2 linked regions of the Lepisosteus oculatus genome follow. The protein of the gene in region 1 interacts with the protein of each later gene in a pairwise test. Links are inferred from orthologs where the notes say so. Each region holds a gene or a part of one and is shown in the gene's direction. Other genes may lie near its edges.

Region 1 (7,773 bases):
AATACCTAGACATACTTTTGAAGCATTTTTTATCTGTAGCAAAGAGTGACAATAGAATTGAGCTCGTTTTTGGATCAAGCTTTGTCTCATCTATACCTGCATATGGAGCCAATCTGATTGGGGTGGGATCTTACCTTTGTATTAAAGTTGATTTCTATGGCCTTAAGTAAAATTTAATTCAGCACCTGTCAAAGACATTTCAGACAAGAATATTTTTTAAAAGAATGTATAAAAGAAAAATAAAGGAAAGTGATTGAGATTCAGGCCACAGATTCCCGCCGTGTACCTGTTGCTTACCTGGATATGTTCTGACAGGCTCCCTGTACTGGATAAAGTGGTTAAAAAGTGATGTAAGGAAGACTCACTGATGGTAGTTTTTACCAATAACGAAACTGGGAGTGTGTTTTGCTTCTCAGTAATATGTTCTTGTAAGTATGAACAGCAGGGGGAGCCTGAAGAAGAAAAAACCTTCATGTTATTTGTTTGGGAAGGAACGTTTTGTTTAAAATGAGCAAACCATGACAGCAACAGTGGCAAATAACACTGAATCTGACAGCTTTTAATGGAGCAAGTGGTCTGATGAGACACAAAGTACTTCCACTTGAGCGTTCTGTTCATAACATAAAACTTGTAAGCATCCTATAACTGTATCCCGTACCTGCAAAGTGTAATAATTTAAAAAATAAAATCCTATTTATTTAATGAGGCTGATAAACAATGATTACAGTCCATGCAATTCTGGATTATGCTAATCTATACTAATAATAAAGAATGATGATTCAGGTACAGGATTTTGACCTTGAGTTTTTTTTAACAATCTGTCAAGTGAATCATACAATTCAGGTCCTATTCTTCAGCAATGAGAATGCAAACTTTGTTTATAAAGGTAATGCGTGCATGCAGCAGGCTCTTCAAGTATTTCTTTGCAGTTTTTGTAGTTTTACTGTGCTCCCAGTGTTAGCATAGACAATCCTGCTAACACTGCAGGATTCTACAATCCATCCATTTTCTAATGACTTAATCCCATTCAGGGTCACAGGGGAGCAGAAACCTGTCCTGACAACCAACTGTACAAGGCGGGGTGTACCATGGACATTCTTTGTGAGACACAAACACAAACATGGACACACATACACACTCACACCACGTTTTATATTCAGAGAAGTCAATTAACCTATTGGTATGTTTTTGGACTGTGGAAGGAAACTGGAGGTCCAGAGGAAACCCATGCAAACATGGGGAGAACATGCAAACTCTGCACACCAGGTCTGGAATTGAATCCAGGGCTCCAGCAATGTGAGGCAGCAATGCTAACCACTGCTCCACTATGCTACTGCAACTCTACTACAACATTTTAAATCTGCAGTATATGAGGGAGCTCACTGATTTTAATGAGAACCAATTAATTAAGGTTTTGAAATAAGACAATTTTAATGGTCTCTATCTGTTGTTACTGGGGCAATTTAATATATTAATTACATAAGTAACTAAACATTTTTAAGGATACTAAAGACAATTACCTTCTGATTTTATAGTTTATGATTTTCACTTGCAGTGAGTGATGGAACTTTTGCAATGGCTGACCTGGTAGTAGTGCTGGTGATTAGCTTGCTAGCTTCCACAATTGCTTTTGAGCTTTTTTATTTGACCATGAATGTTTTTATTAGAAAGTTACAGAGAAACCTTATTTGTATACAATATAATATGGTTTCAAACTAAAAAGCAGACAAAATTAAAAATATCAATTTGAATAGAAAAAAAAACATTTTCATCTTAAGATCAGTGAAACCCCAAATATTGTTAATGCAGTTCAGCATATAGAAAACATAACTATTAATAACCTATTTTTTATATATAAATGAGTATCCTCAATTGTGTAAAGTTGTGACATTAAGACATAGCAGCTCAGCTGACCATAAGTTTCATACTTAATAAAGAACCACAAAGGGTGTGAAAAATACAATGCGTAATCAGTGTATATTATACATCAAGGGATGACATGTTAAAATTGTACAATACATTACTATGGCCTAATTTAGAATATGATATACAATTGTGGTCACAATGTCACAAAAATATACAGTACTGCTGCTGAATCATTCCAGGCAAGTGCAATATCCAATATAATAAAGGGTTAATAAAACTCATATACAGTATAAACATGCCATAAACAAATGTTCTTATATTATTTTACCACTAAAATAATAACATTTACCTTTATAATACCTTTACCATAATATCTTTAACACAAATCTAATCAATTACCTAATTAACACCCACTGTGTAGCTATTTACAAAGATTAGAGGCTGCCCAGCAGCCTATAGTGGCTGGGCGGCTGTAACTGCAATCCTGTTTTTTGTCAGCCTGACATAGAGAATGATCCATTAAAATTAAGAGGAACGCACATGTTCCCTATATATCTATATGTTTATCTATGACTGACCAATTGACCTTTAAGTGAAATTTTGACAGATACAGGGCATAAGATATGGTGTATTTACATTTTCAGAAAGCTGTCTATAAAGTTACTTATCACAGATTTAATTTGAAATTACAGGCTGAAGTCCTGCAAGGAAATGTATGCAACTGGATTGAGAACTGATTAATAATTAGCAAATAAACATGATTAAAACTAAATGATTAAATTGGGGCGATGTAATTAGTGGAGTACCACAGTATTTACCAGGACCACAGCTATTCTTAATTTATATTAATGATTATGGTATAATTCGTAAACTATCTTTCAGATAATATCAGATTAGAATGATTAGCTAACACTGTAGAATGTACATAGTAGAATAACACTGTAGAATCAGCAAATGGAATTCCCAAAGAATTTGCTTTAATTCAAAACTGGGAAAACACTTGGCAGATTGCATTTAATCTACTGTACAGAAGTGCAGGGTTTTGCATGCAGTTAGTATAAAAGTAAAAACAATAGGACCCAATGAGCTAGACGAAGCTACTTATGAAGAGGACTTTGGTGTTTTTGTCAACACATTGTTTACATCTTCCAGAAAGTGCTGGTAAATAATAAAAAGGCAAACAAAATTTTAGATTGTATAGTCAAAAGTACAGAATTCAAGTCAAGGGATGTCACATTAAAATTGTACAATGCACTACTGTGGTCTTTTTTGTACAATGTTATGTACAATTGTGGTCACAATCTGGAATCATTCAAGAGAAGAGCAATAGAGGTGCATTCCAGGACATAAAGGAATAAGCAATATCCTACACTGACAGATTGAAATACATTTTTAGTTTTAAACAGAGAAGAATATGAGGGAACTTCTACAAGTATTCAAGATGCTCAAAATCAGCACAGCGGACTGAGTGGTAATGAAGAATATAACATGAGTGGGTAGGAACATGCTCCTGACTGCCAAATTCATATACAACTTATATGAATGTACAACTATTCAGTCTTTTGCAGTTAATTCAGGAAAATATGTTTAAAAGAAGTTGTTATTGTGGGAGATATTAACTTTCCCCGTGTAGATTTGGACAAACCACCAGGTAGGTCAGTAGCTGAAACTGCAATGGTAGAAATGGGTAATGAATGATTCCATACTCAGATTATCAGAAGCCCAAGGTGATGCCTGTATTGATCTAGTGTTTTCAAACAATCGAAACAGAGTGAGGAAAACCATCACAGAAATGTGATCATAATATGTACGTTTTGAAGTATATTTAGAAATTCTGCTAAGCCCAAAAGAAAGATTGGCAATTTCGGAAAAACTGAACATAAAGGAAAGAGTCAACCTGAAATTTAAAGAAATGTTTTTGCTGTAGATACAAATGACATAGATTCAGTAGAGTGGATGGCAACACAAAGTTACAAATACGGAGCAGATTCATCCCAAAAGAAAGTCAAAAGCAAGAAAGGAAAGCTGTAGTCTGTGCAGAAAGCACTTTATACAATGATTAAAAGAGAACAGGATCTAGAAAAGAGGTATTTTATTCTATTATATAATTTTCAAATAGATAATTTAAAAATATTATATATGCAAATTCTGCTTAAAATATACATAATTTAATATAATTGCAATATAGTATTATTTAATATACATTTTTGCATACTTCCAGGGGTCTAGTAGGAAATTACTTTATATTAGCATGTATGCGCCTCACTGCTTCTGCCCCCCATACCCTTTAAAAATAGAGGCAATCAAGTTAATAATCAGGAAATGTCTTGTTCCTGTAAGGAAACGGGGAACAACTATAGCCATTTGATCTATGCATAAGAGGTATCCGAGGTTTTATTTCCGCTTGACAATTTTCATCACTGTATTTCAAACATTTCAAAACACTTTCTCTTGAAAAAATACATAACGTATGGTAAATACCGTGAGTGACGGTATTTGAATGCGCAATATTTGCTGTATCATTATTTTCAATGTTTCGTCTTAAAAGCCTTAAAAGAGCATTTCAGTTTCAGCATAAAGCCAGCTAGTTTACTCAACGAATTGTATGTCTCAGTTGGTGTCCTCTTTTTAGTTTTTCATTTAATTAATATGATCGTTCCTGCCGTGTGCCCATCTATTCTTAAGAAGTGCTAGCTAAGCTGACACTAAAGTCTGCGTACTCGTCCGGACATATAATGTAGTTAACACAGCAATTGGCAGCAGCGAGCACTGGCGATGTAAGAGAGACAGCCCGTCTCTGTCCAGAGCGGCTTCCCAGCGCAGTTGCTTCGGTGCTCCAGCTTTCTCAGTCCTATGGCAGGGCTGACGTCATTGAGCAAGACAGTGGGCTGAGCTAAAGGTAGGGGGAGAGAGAGAGAACGAGAGTGGAGTTGCAGGGCCTGTAAAGAAAGGACCTGGAATAAAACTGGATTTTTCTTCCCCTCTGTCAAGTATTTTATATAAACGTTCTGAACTGCACAGGGGTTATTTGCATACCTGCCTCCCCGCCCGATCCGACCGGAGCTACACCAAGGTAAGAGGGAAAGAAAATTAAGGAACTGAGTATAAAGTTGGTGTGGCAGCTTCTGGAGGTGGTGGTGGGGGGGTACTGTAATTGGCGTTGGTGTGTTTTCGGTTCATTCACAAATCGTCCTGAGCAGATGGATATCAAGCCGTGTTTTAATAAAAGCAAATACATTCCCTGGGCAAAGGGGTCTGGAAGACCTCTGAAGTAAAATTCCCATCATTAGGTGCTTGTGCTTTTAGATGGTTTTAGTGTTGAGCTCCGCGTTAAGCTCAGTGGCTTTGTTATTTGTGGCTGAGACTCTACAGCAGTACAATAGACGGGATTCAATAGGATGGTGATGATGGCGTTTCGGAGCCGCTTGTAAAGATTCCGCCTTCGAGGGGCTCTTGCCTGCCAGCGTTCTCTCTGTGGAAAAACGCACGAATAATTCATGGCAGATAGCTGCCGGTTTGACGATAAGGGGGCTGTAACTTTAAACGTGTTATTGCGTCTTGTAGTGGTTTAGATATCTTGCATGTGTCCATTGTCTTCACGGTATCGCTTCAGTGTGCATTGACGTTGCTGTTTGCTGTATAGTCTTCCAACTTCCACAGGAAAAATAGAAACGACATTAAGTTCTTTGTCCCATAATAAGCATCATGCCCAAATCGCAATTTTTTATCGATATCATTTTTTTGCTCAGTGACTGCTGACAGCCACAACAACCACACGTTATCCACAGTAATGGTAATGGGGTGTGCATAGTCATTAATGTAGAATCGAAAACGGTTAATAGTGATGAATTTATTGTCAAAGCATAGCTCTGCCAGAAATGTTTAATAAACATATTGGTATGGGTACATTTTGGAAGAGAAAAAAACTTTAGTGTCTTTTTTGTTATTGATATCAGCCCTATCCTTGCTGAATTAGATAAATATTAAAACACACCCTGATTTAAGTACAGGTATGACACTCTATTCCATATTTATAATACTAACAACACTCTTATATAGCCTAAAGTATTGTATGTCACACCAATATCTATATGAGCTACTAATTTTAATCTTGTGAAGATTTTATTGCTGTTTTAGTTTAAATTGATATGGTATTCTGTCAGAGAAAGGCTGAATAATAATGGCTTTTTCTTTTTTGAGCATTAAAATTAAAATTGTAGGCTCTTTTCAAAAACTGAGTTGCTATGTCTAATTCTCATCTTCAGTTTTACATGTAGATGGAAAATTGCTCTTTAGGTTCTTTAAGGTAACAGCCCCATAGAAATGAAGTCACCTTGTATTCTCTGCTTATAACATTACTTGGATGAGTCTTCATAGGCACATACTGTAGAATGAAACTTGATAAACCACTATAGGTAAAAATAGTAGGGCTTTCTTTTCAACATTCAAATAAGTCATTTGGGAAAATATGAAATGCTGACATTGATGTATTAATAGTGTCAGAAATGAAAGCACTCGCTTATCTCTTTTAGTTTTGTAATAATAGATACCAGACTTTCTGAACTAATTTGTTTTTGTATTCTTTAGCCTGTTCAGGCACATCTTGATTAATTGGTATCACCTACAAACTTTTCTTTGCCCATTTCAACATTTGTTTTGCCTCGTTAGACATTTGCAGACATGCAGGGAAACTATTACAATTCTGTTATACTCTCTTCCGTGATGATCGCTTTCTATCAACAAAAAAATTCAATGACAAAAACAGCTATGCTAGTAAAGCCAAACTTAAGTGTGATATCAGACACAAGGGCCAAGTAAGTGGAACAGGTAAGATCTCTCAAGATGTGCTAGCTATAGCATGAAGAAGTCATAAGGTACATTTCATGTTGTCATGTCTCGTTTTTCATTCATAAAGCTGTCATACATGGTGATGGTAGGCAATTCTTTAAGTGTAACAATAAATGGGCTTACAGAATGCACACAGGATAGCAACACCTCTGTGATTCCTTATACGTATTGACATAGTCAAGTGCCATTGTCAGTGCTTGGGCTTGGAATTGTAGGCACATGGACAATGGGTACAATAGTCTTGACAGTTTTTCTTTCTGCTGTAGATGAAGGTCTTTGTTTTTCCCCCCCCTATCTTCCTTGTGAATAGGCAGCCTTTCCTCATAATTATTCCCTCAGTTGTTTTCTGTCCTGAAGAGTAGTGGATTCTTTCGACTCAAGACTTTGGCCTTCAGTATATTTACAGCAAACAGGTTAGGAAGAGTAGTGTTTGACCCCTTCTTAGGAGTGATCCACACAGCTTTACATTCTTGTATGTTTTGGTTGTGGCTAACATTTGAATGGCCTTTCAATGTTGCTTTGTTACCAGTGCATAATTGGACACTGCTGTCTTTTGATGCCTTTTCCCTTCAGAGCATGCCACGTCTTGTGCATCCCACTCCACCCTGTGTAATTTATAAAGGTCTGTTTTTTAATTCATTTACTTTATTTTTGAAAATAAATAAAACAATAGCTTTGGACAAACATCTCTTAAACTGTAAGCCATGGTGATTTCATACTGCAGTGATCAGCTTTATTTGATTTTTTTATGACTGGAAATAGCCACAGAGTGCTGTTAAAGTACTTGAGTCTGGTTCTTGTACAGTGTAGAGGGCTATGCAATGAACTAGTGTTTTCAGAGTTTAGCAGTATGCTTGTGCTTTAACCAGTCGATGACTGTAAACATTCCTAATATCTTTGCTGTGCACCCTGTATTCCACTTGGGAATGAATGTATAAATCTTTAGTTGCAAACTGGCAGAATTATTAGTTATGTATTCTGTGTTTCAGAGATTTCTAGACTCCACATTCCTTGAGCAACTTATGTTCTGAATGTGATAACTTAAGTGTATCTGCCACC
Region 2 (7,485 bases), on another chromosome or scaffold:
TGGAGGAGGTGAAGCGCTCGATGTGCCTTGATCAATGTTGACTGTGAAGGAAGAAGGAGTAGGAGGGGGGGGGAGAACGGAAAAAAAACCAGGCTTCCACCAGATGGAGCGGGGTCTTGGCAAAGGTCAAGGTTAGCACAGACTACTATTGAATCGGCTGCAGTTTCGCAGATAGAGGCACCCATCGGGGCTTCTCACAATCAAATCTAATACAAAAGCCGGTCGCAGAACGAAATCGCTTCATCTGAATGCTAAAATTGTTATTAGGGTACATTAGGAGGAAGCCACGCACGTGATTGGAAAAATCCTTGCAATTTGTGATTGAAATAGAACCTATTAGTTGTTGATTGGATAGCAACAAAGTTAAGTGCTCTTTTATGGCCCTGATTAAGAAACGGAATTTGAGCCACAGGACCGTATTATCGTTCATAATAGTTTTTTTTAATTTTTCAGCTTTAACATCATATGGTTGCCATTGGGTATTAATTCTTGTAGGCTAATCCTTCCCTTAAAGTAGACAAATTATGAGTCAATTCCAATACCTTAAGCTCCTCTGTCGTTTAAAACGGCGTTAAAAGGTAAACGCCTTAAATTAACGATGGCACAGTGTTTTATTAATCTTAGAGAATCGTTATATGATTATATAATAAATCAAGTAAACACAGGATTGTGTAATGCATAATGAATCAGGACAACACGTTTTTGAAACAACAAATGGATTGATTGCCTCAGGTACATTATCGTATGTATAATATCAAACTATTACATGTAGTGTTAAAATGCATCAGGCTGGGCAAGCTGGTGTCACCTCACAGATGCAGGTAAGATTAAACAGACCACTTCAGTAAGTTGCTTGGTAGATGTCAACCTTAATTTCTTGATGCATATATATATGGAAAATAATCTAATGCTTGTTCTATTTTTACCCCTATATGTAACTCTTAGGTGTCTGTACACCTTCAATAAAAACAGTACATTGCACATAAAAACAACACACACACACAATTTACATAATCAACTTGACAGAGTCTAGTTCATTGTTTGGAGGAATGTGCAATGACACCTGAAATGCATTGATTATGTTTATTGTCAACTTCATAAATTAATACAATTCTTGATCTTTAACCATTTCCCATTTCATTCCTTTAAAGTAGGGACACCCCTTTGAGCTTGTCAACACAAACACTTTCTGAAAGTTGCATTGTTCTTTACAAAATCAGCAATAAAGCTGTAATCTGTCGCAATATAATCTCACTGCCTATTAAAAAGCAAAAGCACCTTTTCACATCAAATCACCCGGGCAATTGTTTCCGTTTGGGAAATTACAGAACTACAGGCAACAAATGTCTGACAATTTTATGGAAACCAGATTGACCCTTGGAGTCCCTAACTAGCAATCTGTCCAATTCCTAAATACTAGAAGTTAAAAGCGTGACAAAAATCAAGAGTAGTCAAAAGCTTAAATTTAGAGGATGGGGGGTGGGACTCATACGGTATATGCTACTGAAGTTAAAGTGAAAAAGAAATGCCACTTTTAGAAAAATATTACCAGACTGCATCCGGGTATCTTCTTCACTGTCACAACAGACTTGTGCACAAATGTCATGACAAAACACAAAGGCAATACTTCAGTAATTGAATCCGTGACGGGTATAAGACAAATCCTATACCAGAACAATTAATTTGTATAAATCTGAAGAGTTGTCTGGTCTCTGTGGAATATAACTCAGTTGTCATTTCAGACTGTTTTGCAGTTAAGAACCCCAAAAAAACCCATTAGGTGTTCAAAGAGCTTAAAGAGAATATATCTGGTGTTTGCATGGCATTTAGCTTTTCTGTAACCTCTAGATGAAAGTTGTTTCACGAAGAAAGGCACTGCATTTTAAATTAAATTATGTTACTAAACACCCCATCAAATCCAGTTTGTCTATATGAAATACCTAACATGAAATGTATGTGGGCCCTCTTTTTATGAACACAAAGGGTTAAAGGGAGATGCATTACCAGCATACCAAACGTTTACGTACAATTTTATTTAAGGACTCTATGAGAGATAAGTTTATTAGATATTCATTATTCATACCAGTAATGCCCTTTAAGTGTTGCAGCATATATTTTACTCAATATTCATCACACACTCACATAAAGAATACATAAAATCAGAAATATATCGATTAGCTATAGACTTTTACTGAGATGTATTATATATTAGAAAGACGTTGCACTCTCGTTAACATTGCGCCCATGCAATAAATCAACATAACACGACCGTTTTCTGCAAAAAATGATCAACACCCACTTTAAATTGCTACTAAGTTTCTTAAGTGTTTCTTATATAAAGTATGACTAAACGCAAGAGCTGTGTGGTCAAGTATGTCATATCTACTTATATATTATAATAAAGGATTATTATTAATTATGCTTCAGCCCATGTTTAACGCACATTACCAAGTTAAACGTTAAATACACTAAAACATTGAATCACATTTAATTAACAAATAGTGGGTATATACTGTATATATAAAACAGGTTAGTATAAGCACGATCGTTTGGTCAGATAGAACTGCCTTACAAACCCTCTGCAACATTTCAAAGAAAGAATATTGCATTTTTGCAGAAAAGTAACCTTAACTCAAGTGTACGTATTAAATTAAGTTAAGCACTCATATTTACAGTATGTTTAGGGACCTCCGATAAGCGTAAGATATTAACACTTTAGCCTAGACAGCAGGACTCAACTAGCATATACTGTTTATACATAAAAACTAGTCAGTGTCCCATTTACTTTAATTTAAAAATAAAGAATAATTTCATACCACATCGAAATGAGTTCTTGGCAGCTGCAAGACATTACATGCTTGATTTAAGGGGACACAGAACCCCTTTTAGAAAGAATAGCCTGCACCGATATTTAAGTAGGTCGTTTTCTCTGAAACTGTTCTAAAAGCTGTTCTTAAAACCCTCTAGATTAGGCTTTCTCATTTCTGAGATTTCGTATCGTATGTTTCGTACATGTTTATTAATATCAGCCTGCTTTGTAGCCCGTATTTTGCAAGAAGGCTCATATTCAGGTAGCTTTTCCTGACACCGAGACGTTAATACTCCCTTTGAAACCGCCAGTACGAACCAGGTCTACGCGCAATCTTACTCTTTACTCAGTAGACTACGTTCTCATTTTTAATATTCGTAGACGGCATTTACAACTTTCCCCGTCGTATCCCCATAACACATATTTATATACTCTCCTATCTTCATAATCTCCAAACTTTAGCTTTCCATATTCATAAATCTTCAAAAAGAAACCCAGGACTTGTTTGACAAATACCGGTAAATAAACTAACCTTGACCGGCAAATATTTTCCCCCACTGCTGAGATTTTTCTCCGATGCTCAACTTCCTCTCCGATCCTTTCTTTCTCTATTTTCCCATTCATTTTTACCCCATCCCCTTTGTATCCTGTCTCAGAATCCGCGTCTAGCTCACGTTTTCATTCCACTTCGCTCTTGTGATTCACTTGTGCAGCCGCTAGTCTTAGTACTTTTTATTAGTTTGCATGGCTATTTCTCCTACCCACTTCATACACAGTTCATGTCATCGCTTTTGTTTTCTGCCTGGTGTCTCTTCTAGTATAAGCTGTCATTATTTAGTCTCCGCTCTTTGGGAGGCGTTTTGTTCTTTTCCTAAATCGATTTCCGCGAGTGTCTGTGTTTTTCTCTCCCCCTTTTCGTCTCCCAGCCCTTTGTTGGAACATACTCATCGACCCACCGCAGATCTTTTTGGACATTTGCATCCTCTCCCAATTTTCGTTCACAGCCCACCTTTACCTGCTTTAACCCCTATTGCATCACATGTTTATTTCAAACTTAGTTCGTTCACTCCCCCACCGTCGCCGTGTGTCAGACTTTACACTTCGGTTTAAAAAAAAAAAAGAAGCCGCTTAATTTCTTAACCCTCTTTTGATCTTTGCTGTTTTTTTTTCTACTCCTAGTCCTCCTTTACTTTTACCCTGCTGCGAAACCTGTCTGTCCCATACAGACAACCTGCTAATAATATCTTAAGTTCTGTTTCGTTTCTTAGCTCAGTGGTCGCTGTGCTCCTTGGCTACTGACACACACGAGGTGGTCTAGCTGTGTGACCACGAACTTATTTTTCACTGTGTTTCCGTGCCCAGATCCCTGATCAATGTCCACTGCGACAGCTTACATTAGACGGGGTTTTTTTTTTCCCTTCACTGCCATATGTCCAGCCCCCTGATCCCTTGTCCATTGGCTTTTCTTGGTCTATTTTTTTCACGTCCAGCCCCCTGATCAATGCCCACTGCTTTCACTAGACAGCTTTTTTTTTCCCTCTTGTGCCTCTTGTCCGGCCCCCTTGATCTCTCTGTCCATTGGCTTCTCCGGGTCTATTTTTCATGTCCAGCCCCTAATGAGTGTCCATTGGTTTTGTTATTTCCATTCCCTCCTCCTACTCTCTGTCTTTGCCCTGCCCATGTTTTGTATGTCTGTGTCCATCCATCTCCTGACGTTCAAGTTCGCAGGGACGTCACGTCCGCACTTGAACTTGCAGCTCAGGGGGGCTTTTGCCATTTTTTTTCATCTCTCTCTCTCTTTTCAAAAAAGCCATGACGGCTATCCCACAATCCATCTTCCCTGCGCCATCTTTGTATTATTTCTAATTTATTTTGGATGTCAAAGGCATTGATGAAGATATTTTCTCTGGAGTCTCCTTTCTAACCCGGCTCTCCCGATGTGAACCGAGCTCAAAGCCACCACCAAGCACCATGTCTCGCCGTAAGCAAGGCAAACCCCAGCACTTAAGCAAACGGGAATTTTCGCGTAAGTAGAACAAAATTGTAATTTACACCCTTTTCTTCACTTTTTCCAGCAACAGTCTTTAATTTCCTGCAGTAAAGAAGAGAAACAGTGACCAGGAGCAAAAATCTTGGTGAAGGTGGTGCTGGACATTGGACACCGAAGATCGCGGTCAAGTGGACTTCACAAAAAAAAGCGTGGCGAGATTTCTTTTGCACCCAGAAATGCCAATACGAAATGCGGTTTTCTTAAAACTTAAGCAGAAAAAAAGTTTTTATTTTTTTGCATTCAGCTTTTTGAATCCGGAGCACTTTTACAATAAGATTTTCTAGCGTGCTTAAGATATGCCTTTCGTACCCCTTGTGCTTAAGCCGCTAAAGGGCATAGGGTAGGAAGGCGATTGTAATAGGTATGCATGCTTTATCATATTTATTATTTCTAGTGGAAGCCCCTGTAACACTGTCTGTTTACTGCCTGGAGAGGATTTCCCTCCTCTCGTACTATTTTTTGGAAGATTTTCAAAAAAGTGGAAGTGGATTTTGATTGGGAAAAATCTCGTGTCTGACTGTTTACAAGCACCGCGTGTGCGGAACCTCCTGCCAACAACATCGAAAGGGGAAAAAAAAAGAGTAATATTCGCTTAATTTTCTTTCGAAAGCTGCGTAGACCGCTGTCAAACGGATGGATTTGTAATCTAAAAGCTTTATGTGCACTACTTGAGAAAGATTGCTCTTAGATTCGACTCTAGTTGTTTTAGGGGACGGCTTTATAAAGAGGAACAGGAACCCCGGCTTACTCTTCTTTTCGATTAAATATTTTCCCCCTTTTTACACATAGATTTTTGGATCGACTGTTATGTTTATTTTACTTTAACGTAAAAGGGAAACTCGCAAGGTAAGGTAAAATAAAATGTATGCATGCGAGTCAGAACAGTTGAGTTGCCTCTTTCTGTTTTCGTTTCTGCTTTTCATAGATGCAAAAAGTAATCATTTTGCAGACTTGCGCGGCGTATATAGCACATTATCGTCTGGGCTCTGCATGTGTTCAGGGATATTTAAGTTCGCCACGTTTGTTTTTGCGTGTGGATACGTTTTTTAAAGCTTTATTGGAAACGAAGGCGACACACTGTTTAAAACCGTCCAACATTTGGCAAACGCAGTAAGCAAGCGTATTTGGGACCCCGAGAGATCGGAATTCGCGATTGAATGAATGAAATGTTATGTTTTACATCTTTATTCACAAAGATCTGTAAACCTTGCGTTTTAACGACTCGAATCTTGCGAGAACGATTCCGTAATGTTCCTTGTTCAAGACACATTAGTGTTAAAGCGAGCCGTTTGTCTAAGTTGCATTGAAGTATTGCTTTGTGTGACGGTTCTGTCGCTAGGAGGCAGAAGATGATCATAAACTGGAAATGAACTTGAACCTGATCAATTTCACCGCCACCTCAATCTACATATCCTGACGATATGTTTGGAATAAAAAGGAAATACATAATACGCAGGTTATAGCTTCTTTTTTCCCACCCACTTTATATCTTATTTTAAGTAAATTAAACTCGTATAAATGACGAGACACCGTCGATCATTCAAATGATTTCTAATTTACTGGATATCTTTTTTTTTTTTACTTTTGGTACCCTTTCACAATCATGAAAATGAAAAGGAGCTTTAATTTAGTAATTGAAAGCCACGCGTATTTTCAACATTTTCTGTAACGCATCAACTTATAAATAATAAGCTTTAGTATGCACAGAGGTTTCAGGCATTAAGACTCTCCATTTAAGGTTAGTATTTTATGATTTATTATTGTTGTCCACCTCGTTCATTACATACCTTAGCTCGTAAGCATTTTTCTGTACTTTGAGTTTAATACGTGTATGAAACTTACGTATTTTTTACACTTATTATATAGAATAATATACTATTATATTGAGAGTATTCTAATTTTCGTTTGAAGACAGGAAATCAAAATGGAAAAACTATAAAATGTCCTTGTGTGGCGTGTTTCCTTTAGATCCACGTGTTTCAGTATTAAATCATCAGGAAAGTCGTATTACCTCCTCTCTTAAGATATTCAGGGGAGCTAAGGCTAAGAAATTTATGTGGAATTTAGGTGGAATTTATTATACAGTTGTATAGTTTTTAATTAAAAAAAATTTCAGGCATGCAAACTAACAATGAAATGTTCAAAAGGTAATTTTAAATGAAGCCCTTTTAATTGTGTGCAGGTTTTGTGTCTTTCCTATATTTCTAGCAACGAAGATCCAGTTCCTCACAGCAAGCTACTTTGTTGAAAGTATTCTGAATCAAAGCAACATTTTCGCTTGTTACGTTAGAAGTAATCGCAAGACGTTTTCAAAAACACGTGAAATCAGTGAACTGTAAAAATGTATGCTCAATATTAGTAAAATATGGAGCAAAAACACAATGTTGCTATCCAGTTTTCCTGGATTTCATTATTTCTGCCACTTTTAATAAATATTTTAAGTATACATTAAATTGTTTGACAAAGGCTACTGAGTGTATTCTTGGAGACAGTTGTTTTTAAAAGAAAATACAATGATAAAACAGTTTTGTCCTGTTAGAGAGATTGTTTTTATATACATGGTGGGCAGGCAAAAAACTTTCAAAAAATGTTTCCCCCGAGTAATGTAAACATAAGAAAGTGGCAG

What was found.
Region 2: the proteins of cytoplasmic protein NCK2 (region 1) and bcl11aa interact in binary tests that used the Homo sapiens proteins (3 or more experiments, as listed by UniProt). The two-hybrid records come from large-scale screens. The link is inferred for Lepisosteus oculatus from reciprocal best matches to the Homo sapiens genes NCK2 and BCL11A.

What each region holds. Positions count from the first base shown.
Region 1 is NC_090710.1:24,271,515-24,279,287, forward strand, and holds the start of cytoplasmic protein NCK2, read left to right. Parts: upstream 1-4,764; 5' UTR 4,765-4,939; intron 4,940-7,773. UniProt on the Homo sapiens protein: Adapter protein which associates with tyrosine-phosphorylated growth factor receptors or their cellular substrates. Maintains low levels of EIF2S1 phosphorylation by promoting its dephosphorylation by PP1.
Region 2 is NC_090712.1:9,969,343-9,976,827, forward strand, and holds the start of bcl11aa (BCL11 transcription factor A a), read left to right. Parts: upstream 1-4,483; 5' UTR 4,484-4,780; coding exon 4,781-4,835; intron 4,836-5,310; exon of another isoform or gene 5,311-5,440; intron 5,441-5,471; exon of another isoform or gene 5,472-5,705; intron 5,706-6,161; exon of another isoform or gene 6,162-6,597; intron 6,598-7,485. UniProt on the Homo sapiens protein: Transcription factor. Associated with the BAF SWI/SNF chromatin remodeling complex. Binds to the 5'-TGACCA-3' sequence motif in regulatory regions of target genes, including a distal promoter of the HBG1 hemoglobin subunit gamma-1 gene.